Linked DNA regions of Neurospora crassa OR74A. The main gene of each other region encodes a partner of the protein of the gene in region 3 in a complex. Links are inferred from orthologs where the notes say so. Each region holds a gene or a part of one and is shown on either strand. Other genes may lie near its edges. The genes, in order: NCU17114, NCU07057 and NCU02804.

Region 1 (2,952 bases), on a different chromosome or scaffold from region 3:
ATTTGGCCTCCTACCCGAGGTCATGAACGGTGCCAACAGGTTTTTGCCACCCAGATCAGCACCGACTCGAACTTATGGCAGTAGAAGGTCCGTTGATCCTGCGGAAAACACCAACTCGGTCAGTCAAACGAACGGCGAGTCCCAATCACGGTCTCAGTCCCAGCCACTTTCGCGATACGGGGGCGCCAATGATGAGACCCAAGACTCCATGACCCTCTCGCAGAATGCAAACAAAGAAGACGGAGATGACTTGCCTCTGCCTCCGCCTGGGAATAAGTTATGATCCATATGTCGATGCATGGCGTATTTGTGTGGATTGGAGACTGTGTTTCGAATGAATTGAGATTCAATATGTATACGACGAGAAGAGTGTGAAAGAACGCCTGTAAAATGTTGGGAGACGGGTCTTGTGACTAATGAAAAGTTTGATTTCCACGAAAATATAGAAAGATGAGATAAAGCGATGTACGATGGCAAGAAAAGTCAAAGATGTCGAGGTGTCATGACAGACTGTCTGATCGCGATAGAAGAGTTATCCTTACCACACAACACAAGAGAAGGGAGAGCCACTTGGCAGTGAACCTGGGTCACGCCCAGCATTGCCGACGGCCGAGGGGCGTTGTGCTTATCTCTTGACTTGTACATTCTCTAATCAACCTGGCCCATCGGTAGAGCGAAGAAGCAACAAACGCTCCATGGTGCCAATCCATAACTCACAGGGTGATGTTATATACTGATGGATCGGTGGTACAGTAATAATACACGACCAGAGACTGGATGGAACGAGGGACCCCATCTTATTCTTGCGCCTCTCTTCTCCATATATCCAGTCCAGTTCCGGTCCGGTCCACCCCCCTCTCCAGCTCCAGCTCCAACTCACTCGCCAGCACTGGCCATTGTCTGCTGGTGATCTGCTTGAAACACAACCCGGTCGAAATCGTAACTTGGTGTGACGTGGTAATCCGTGGAGGGGGTGCTGTAGCTTTTTACTTGTCGCTGCTTCGCCGCTACGCTCTTTGATTCCGTATCGCAGGCTCCGCGTTCTCGCTCTGGCTCTCGGTCGTTCGACGGTCGTTAGGCCCGGGGGCGAGTAACGATCTATGACCTGCCCTTGCGTTTCTGTTCGAGGAAGAGGACCTTGCGGCGAACTATGGTGGAGAGGCGAAAGGGTTAGTAGGTATTCCTTCCTCTTCGAGATCCGTGATTGGGAAAAATTGTCTGTCGTAGGCAAGTGTTTCTTCCGTCCCCTCCTCTCTTCTCTGTTGGCCGGTTGGTTGGCTGGTTGCTTTTTTTTTTTTCTTTTCTCGAAGGTCCGTACGTTATGCCATCGTCCGAGTCTTTGAACTGTTGCGTCCCAGCCTGATCCCAGTCCTAGTCCCAGTCCCAAGCGAGCTTCCCAAGGTCCGTTCGACGAAGCGTATTGGGGTGTTTCGAATCGTGCAAATCGAGAAAGCCCGCAACCAAAAAGAGTTCCATATCATGCCCGTGTCGTCGTGTCCGCCGAATCAATCATGTAGGTGGTTGGAAGCGAAAGAGGTAGATAGGAATGAGGGGAGAGGATATGCGCATACCGATCGGATCGTATTTCAGCATGCTCATAGGCAGCGAGGTACGGGGACGGGTGAAGGTGTAGAAATAACCCGTCATGGCCATTGAGATCAGGCGCACGTTAATGATGCGGGACTTGGCTGTTTGTTGTTTACCTATCAGCAACTATCGTCTTCTGTTTTCGGTTTCCGGTTTCCCCATTGCATCGCTTTTCCCTTTAGGAAAACAAAGCAGTAATTGCAGACACACGGGTGAGGATGGAGTCGATTACCCTTCTTCGCCATGTTGAACGACTTTTGTTGCGCTGTTGTGGTGTGCAACGGCGCGCCTGGACTGGACTGGATCAAGTGCGGTACGGCGACGGGCGACGGGCTGGGGCTCGTCCGGACGGAGAGGTTCGCAAACTGCGGGCGGAGGGCGGGCGGATTCACGGAGCACGGTCTTTGCGCCGGAAGCTCTCCAATCGACGTCGGGTCGTCCGCGCTTCTTGCGATTGCGATTGTAGATTTTGCCTGCCGGCCCGCCGGGGGTGCGTGGGCCGTGGTGGGGCTGTGGGTGGGTCGTGTGCGCTCCTAGCTGGGCTTGGCAGGTGGCTGCCCGCGGTTTAGTGTACTTGTAGGATCGGTGAAGGCAAGGTGAGGAACAAGCTGAGTGTAGTGAGCTGAGAGCTCACCGAGGAACCCCAGAGGCCTTGGCCAAAACACAACGGGCGTGATATCTATCAGAACATCTCACACAAATTTATTGACAACATCAACACCTTTGCTGGGCTTGTACACTGAGAGAGATGTATTCAAGAACATAAATTTGATATTTGTGTACCGTAATTTCAACATGGTGACCGTTGACAGCACTGTGGCTGTAATCATGCCCGTCCCGCCAACAAGGCGCTGGAAGGGAACTGTGTAAGTCGACGAAAAGGATAGTTCCTGGATACTAGATATAGTCCACTGGTCCTACACATGCCGCAGCTACCTCTAGAGGTAGAATACAACGGCCCGGATTTAACGTTGGCTTGTCAGGCAGCACAGCACAGCAGCAGCTTATCTTGGCGGCTACGAAACAGCTCAGCGATACCGCCTCGTCTGGCGGATAGCAGTCCGAATCAGAATATGGCATTTGTTTGATTGACTCTCCATACTGTACCAAGACTGTAGTCTCGATTCGGACCTCTGCGACCCCGCCAGAAATGGATCGCGGGAGCAAAACCGGACCGGAACGAAGACTCTTTTGTAACAAAAAGTTCTAGACCACACCGCTTTCCGTGCTCCTGTTTCGGAGCTCATTAGTTCAGTTTGGGTTGCTACATTTGATGAAAAAAAGAAAAAAAAAAAAAAGTTCGTGTGTTCTTCTGCGTGCTATCTTTCCCCCCCCCCCCCCCCCCCCCCATTCATAGTGTCTTTG
Region 2 (3,315 bases), on a different chromosome or scaffold from region 3:
TATCCTTGACGGTTTCCCACGATCATATCGGGTGGAAGTAGGGAGTCCAGAAAGACCCTGCACAAGTGACAGCCCGCCCCTGCCGACTCGTGAAGGTCACAAATGCTGAAATCCCGCAGGTGCCAATCATCTTCGTCGGCAAGCACGGCGTCTTCCAGGTCCCAGAACCACGGCCCAGTCGTAGGGAACACTGCTTGGCAACCATCACAGAGCTTGTTAAGCTGCCTGGGGGGGTAGCGAGACTTCATGACGGGTTCCTCTGCCAAGGCATTGTCGATCGGTCCATGGTTGAAGTGGGCAGATGGTTTCATGGTGTTGGTTGATTATGATTAGGTCTGTTGTGGGATGGGCAGATGACATGTCAAGGTATCAAGTGAATGAGGAGAGGCTTGCAGCTTCAGGAAGAGCTGGGTGGCCAGGAGATTCAAGGGAAAGAAAGACCATAGACAAGTTCATGCAAAACAAATGGGATTGATGGGGCGCACTGGCGAGTTGGGGCGAACTTTCTCGACGGGATTCGCTCGTTTGAATTCGGTGATCCCTTTGTATGTCGTGAAACTTGAGCCGAAGGTGAATTGCTTCATGCCAGAGAAAGGTTCTTCTGGGAGGCGGTGGTTGCTTAGAATAAAGTAACTGAAGGTAAGGAAAGGAAGAAACCCGCGAAACTACCTCTAGGTAGAAATACCCCTCATTGCTAGGCACACAACGCACCTTCTCAAAGGCGACCAGGCAAAGGGCAAATAGAGGTTAGGCAACAATCAACAAGAGTGACCTAAGCCCTAACCCTATTAAAATCCCCGATCTCGCTCCCTCAATAATCTAACAACTGAAACAAGACCCCCTTGAATCTCGGACAGGGACCATTGGACACCTTTGGGTATAGTCATATAAATCGGCCTTGTCTCTTCTAGAAGAAAAGAAATGTGACGGCGAGATCATCGTGACATCAAAATTCAAAGAACCAATCCGAAAGGGGAGATGTATCGTAGGCAGCTCTGAAGGCGAGTGTTCTTTGAATACGTATGGTTAGCTATCAGGCTGTATCTCAATGGTAGGAATGTCGAGACCATCAGCCTAGGTAGCAGCGTGGCGACTCCAAAGGCAGAGAACCTGGACATGTTCCAATTTCACATATGACCCAGAACAGTGGAGCTGCTAGGTGGTTGATTCCTGGTGGTCAGGTCATATAATGTACAGTGGAGAGTGGCTCGTGGTCCTTCGAACGGGTCTGTGTCGGCAGGCTTTCGGAATGTAATCAGAACTTGGGTATATATTGCGTTTGGTAGTTTGATAGTTGAGTGAGCCTCGCTCCATTTCCTCGCCGTGGTCTGGTATCGTAATGTCCTCCTCCTCCCTCCTTGAAAAAATGACGACCGTTTAGTCGAGACCGTTCTCCGACTTCCAGCGAGCAAGGTAAGTGGCGGGGTTCTTGGGGCCGAGCTTGTCGCCGGGGAACTGGTCGTGGACGGGGCGGATGGTCTTGGAGACGAAGGGGGTGAGCTTTGTTGTTGTTGGATCTTGTTAGCATAATTCTTTTTTATTCTCTTTTGTCCTCCATTCTCGGTCCCTCCCCTAGCACCAGATCCCCCAACACATCCCATTCCAACCCCAAACCCGGACGGAAATAGAGGACCACCCACCTTGAAACCGGTCAGGTCCGGGCACACATAGGTGCGGACCTTGGTGTAGTCGATCTTGTAGGTACCGTAGCTGGTGTGCGTACCCATGGAACCGGTGCGGTTACCCTTGTAGAAACCCTTGTTGACGTCCTTGGTGGTCAGGCGCAACTTGCGGTACTTGAGACCTTGGAGGATGCGAGTGGGCTGCATGGTGGGCTAGGAGGATTGCGCTTTGCGGGGCAACGACGACGGAGAATTGCTTTTTGTGGTCGGTGATCTGGGTGGTGGAAGCACCTCGCTGTGGTGAGGGTGGTTGAGGTGGGCGCAAGTGGGACGGAGACGGGATCCGCTTTAGAGTGTTGAAGATCCGGCGCACGCGACAGGAACGGAGACGGGACTCGGACTCGGACTCGGACTGGCGCTGGACAACACGGACGGCGACGGGCAACGGGCGACGGGCGACGGGGTTGGAATCGAGAAATCGCAAAGACGTCCGGGGCCGCGCCGGGTTGAGGTGGAGCCATTTCAGAAGTTTGGAGCTCAATTGAGCCAATGACGTGAGGCTGGGAGAAACAGGTACCCCTGTAGCCTGCTGCGGCCCCGCAAAATGGGTGGGTGTTGCGCCCTCACCGCCCGAAAATTATCGATTACAGAGGCGGCAGAAAAAGTTTCGGGGGAGCTTGTTCACTGGCAGAAAGTTGAAGGCTTGGTGGGAGTTGCCGTTGAAGGGACCTGACCACTTCGACCTCCAGGACCCGTGCAGGCAAAAGTTGGACATTGACATCCATCGATTCATTCCATCCAACCACTGGACTTCGTCGACAATCTCATCACCCAATTTTTGCTTGCTCGACCTCGAACTTAATTGACTGAATTACCTTCCGACTTCCAATCAGTCAATTCTCAAATACCAGCAAAATGCCCGGCCGTCAAGCCCACGGCAGGCCTCTAATGCCCAAGTCGGGCGGCGGAGGGCGTCCCAAGCACAGAGTCAACAACAAGACTGCCGATAGGAAATCCAGAAACAACGTCCTCGACGCCTTCGCTATTGCCGCCGAACAAGTCCCCCAAAAGAAAGCCAAGGGCGTCCGCACACGAGACCTCGACGAGCCCGAAGAGCGCCCCCAGAAGAGACAACGAGATGGCGACGACGAAGACGATGAGGACGGAGACGAGGATGAGGAAGATCTCGAGGACGCCAGGCCACAAAAGAAGAAGGCCAAAAACAGCGACGATTTCGAAGGCTTCTCCGACGGTGGCGAGGACAGCGATGGCGAGGAGTGGCACGTTGGTGTAGGCGCTGATGACGAAGATTCCGAACTCGACTCTGATGAGGCCTTTGGTGAGAGCGACGAGGAAAAGTTCGATGGCTATGCCTTCAGCGGGAGCAGCTCCAACAAGAAGGGCAAGAAGGCGAAGAAGGGTGGAAACGACAGTGATGAGGAGGAAGAGGACGAAGATGAGGACGATGACTTGGAGTCGCTCGGTTCCGACGCCATCGATCTCGCCACAGCACTGGATCAGTATGAAAGCAGCGAGGAGGAGGAGGGCGAAGAGGAGTCAGGATCGGAAGACGACGCGGACAGCGAATCGAGCGAAAGCGAAGACAGTGACGACGATATGGAAGACCCTTCCAAGCTCGACGACCTCCAAAAGATGATCTCCGGGTTTGCGGGCGACGACAACGACGACGAGG
Region 3 (2,585 bases):
CTTGTCGGGGTGGTGGGTGAGGAGGGCGCGGCGGTAGGCTTGTTTGATCGAGGCGGGGGTGAGGTCGGAGGTGGTGGGTGAGAGGGAGAGGATTTCGTAGAAGGTTGGTTGGGACATCTTGGATGTGTTGGTGGTTTTGCGGTTTGGTGTTCAATGTGGTGTTTGGTAGTGCGGCCCCGGGTATAAAATGGTATGGTTGTGAGACCGGTTTGGTGTTGAAATGTATCGACGTGTAAGTGGTGAAAGGTTGGTGGTTTGCGTCGAGCAGCTTTCGAGAGAAAAGTTTGTATCCCGCAATCACGTGTCTCTTTGCGCTCGCTGCCCTTGTTATGTTGCTGTATACAGTAGGAAATGTGAATAGGCAAAAAAAAGAGGATGTGTGATGTGTCGGTTCTCACGTGGTGGTTTGAGTCTTAGTTGTGTGCCTGGTATCGTGAAGTGAGTTGTTCAGAGAAACAAATTCGGGGGGGAAATTTTACTGCACCGTTAGACACATTACCTCGTCTCGGCCTCCAACCACAGTGGGGAACTCCGTCTTATAAGACGCCAGAGGACGTTCAGTCAACAACCGGGAAACAGAACCACATTGATGGCAATCCCCTTCCAAATGGCTTGAAATTTGTTGTACATTGTTGGTGATGATACAGTCTATGGACATGGCAGTGACTCTCGTTGTAATCTTCCCGACAAGCGACAACAACCGATCGCTTATTTGGGGAACTTGGTCCAGTTCCTCTTGCCGACCTGTAGCGAAGCCCATGGTTAACAAGAGTGCAAACCGCAAGAGTTTGGGCGCAATCCTTACCTTTTTCCATTCCCGGATAAGGTCGGGCATAGCCAGCATGGCCTCTCTCCTCTTCTCCATCCTGTGTGCGAAATCCACCGTCAGCAAACCACCACTTCCTCCCAACCAGCAGCAGCAGCAGCAGCAGCAGCCGAGGATCGACAACGTACTTGGCAACCAGTGTCCTTTCGTGCTTGTGACCCTTGACCTTCTCTCCAACACCGGTACCCTTGACACGGAGACCGAGCTCGACTCTCTTCCGTAGCTTCTCCTCGTTGAGCTTGCGGGTGAAGGGCAGCAGCTCCTCGACGCCGTGTTCCTGGGCCAGCTTGACGAGCTCGGCCTGTCGCCTGAGCGAGTACTTGGGGTTGTGCCACTTTCCGGTGATTGGGTGCTTGGTGGGCATGAACGGGTTCGGGCTCTCCTCCTGGTAGGGCGTCTTGTGCGTCTCGGGGTCGGCGCCGGCGGGCAGGATCGAGGCCGGCGGGTACCGGGCCAAGAAGGTGCGCAACCGCGGTGGGAGCGAAAGCGCCAGCTGGACGTGCTGCTTCACCGTGGCCGCCATGGTGAAGATGTCGATCGACCGGCCTGCTGGCGGTACTGTGTCGGTCGAGGTGGGGGGGGGGGTTGTTTGTTTGTTTGTTTTTGTCGTAGGTGACAGGGTCCGGATTGCTCGAACGAACCGGAACGGGGAACTTTGCGATCAATCGGCCGCCGACGGGACCCCAACTGCGAAAAAGTTCCAGGTCGCGAAACGGTACATAGCGACAGCCGGAAGTTACACTTTGAGCCCTAACCCGACCTCTTTAACCCCCCGCGTAAGGCGGGGCATGTGGAGACCCTTGAACAGGCACGACAGGGATCACCGACCTTGAACCGTGACATAACTTTTGGGCGGGTCGAGAACTGTGCTGCACCGCTGCTGCACCCCAGAACCACCCAAGTTCGCCATAACAACAACCCCATTCCGGAACCCAGCACTGCTTGGAAATCAACACGTTTATTGTCAACACTGTCGCCTCCGACCAGTCTCTTCCTTCGATTCATCACCAACTCCATACACTACCACGATGAGCACGACATCAAGACGGGAACCCCCAGACCTGGCAGCACTGCTGCGCAAGAAGAAGGAGGAAGAAGCCGCCGCCGCGAAACCAAGATTCATCCCCAAAAAGGAACGAGAGAGGCTAGAAGCCGAGAAAAAGGCAAAGGAAGAAGAGGAACGCAAGCGCAAGGAAGAAGCCAAGCCTCAACCAAATGGAACAAATCATAACGGCAACCGCATGGACGGTATCCAGAGTCATCACAACCACAACCCTCAACGAAACATCCCAACCGGACCCAAGGCGATGCGGTACGACGATGACCGGGGACCCAACGGCATGAGCAACGGTCGGGACTACAGAGACAATCGCGACAACAGAGATAACCGAGACAGAAACCAACGGGGCGCAAAACGCGGCGCACCCAACGATGACGAAGAGAAGCGAGCCAAGATGGAGAGGAACGACGAGGCAGAGCTGCGCGCCCGCTACATGGGTCCAGTAGTAAATCAGTCCACATTCTCGGCCAAGAAGAAGAGGAGGAGGACGGCAGCGAACAAGTTCAACTTTGACTGGGATGCCGATGACGACACTAGCCGACCCTTCGACCCCATCTACGCAGAGCGTCAAGAGCCTCTGGTCCGACTTGGTGGTTACGAGATGACGGAAGAGATGGTGATGCGGAAGGCCGAAGCCATCCGTCGTGGCGATCCCGAGACGGGCGAGGAGCGCGCCAGGCAATACCTGGAACAACACAG

The links.
Region 1: NCU02804 (region 3) and NCU17114 share a complex: the UniProt entries of both Schizosaccharomyces pombe proteins name them as parts of the mitochondrial large ribosomal subunit. The link is inferred for Neurospora crassa OR74A from reciprocal best matches to the Schizosaccharomyces pombe genes mrpl25 and mrpl39.
Region 2: NCU02804 (region 3) and NCU07057 share a complex: the UniProt entries of both Schizosaccharomyces pombe proteins name them as parts of the mitochondrial large ribosomal subunit. The link is inferred for Neurospora crassa OR74A from reciprocal best matches to the Schizosaccharomyces pombe genes mrpl25 and mrpl27.

The regions. Positions count from the first base shown.
Region 1 is NC_026506.1:2,293,064-2,296,015, reverse strand, and holds NCU17114 (hypothetical protein), read right to left. Parts: upstream 2,122-2,952; 5' UTR 1,833-2,121; coding exon 1,820-1,832; intron 1,689-1,819; coding exon 1,572-1,688; intron 1,149-1,571; coding exon 1,099-1,148; 3' UTR 593-1,098; downstream 1-592. Other genes in the region: NCU03974 (hypothetical protein), read left to right, coding at 1-283. UniProt on the Schizosaccharomyces pombe protein: Component of the mitochondrial ribosome (mitoribosome), a dedicated translation machinery responsible for the synthesis of mitochondrial genome-encoded proteins, including at least some of the essential transmembrane subunits of the mitochondrial respiratory chain.
Region 2 is NC_026506.1:333,898-337,212, reverse strand, and holds NCU07057 (hypothetical protein), read right to left. Parts: upstream 2,111-3,315; 5' UTR 1,830-2,110; coding exon 1,641-1,829; intron 1,501-1,640; coding exon 1,378-1,500; 3' UTR 605-1,377; downstream 1-604. Other genes in the region: NCU17062 (hypothetical protein), read right to left, coding at 1-311; NCU07058 (small nucleolar ribonucleoprotein complex subunit Utp14), read left to right, coding at 2,538-3,315. UniProt on the Schizosaccharomyces pombe protein: Component of the mitochondrial ribosome (mitoribosome), a dedicated translation machinery responsible for the synthesis of mitochondrial genome-encoded proteins, including at least some of the essential transmembrane subunits of the mitochondrial respiratory chain.
Region 3 is NC_026501.1:9,064,442-9,067,026, forward strand, and holds NCU02804 (mitochondrial 60S ribosomal protein L25), read right to left. Parts: upstream 1,542-2,585; 5' UTR 1,350-1,541; coding exon 955-1,349; intron 867-954; coding exon 806-866; intron 745-805; coding exon 709-744; 3' UTR 536-708; downstream 1-535. Other genes in the region: NCU02805 (diphthamide biosynthesis protein 4), read right to left, coding at 1-117; NCU02803 (pre-mRNA-splicing ATP-dependent RNA helicase prp-28), read left to right, coding at 1,855-2,585. UniProt on the Schizosaccharomyces pombe protein: Component of the mitochondrial ribosome (mitoribosome), a dedicated translation machinery responsible for the synthesis of mitochondrial genome-encoded proteins, including at least some of the essential transmembrane subunits of the mitochondrial respiratory chain.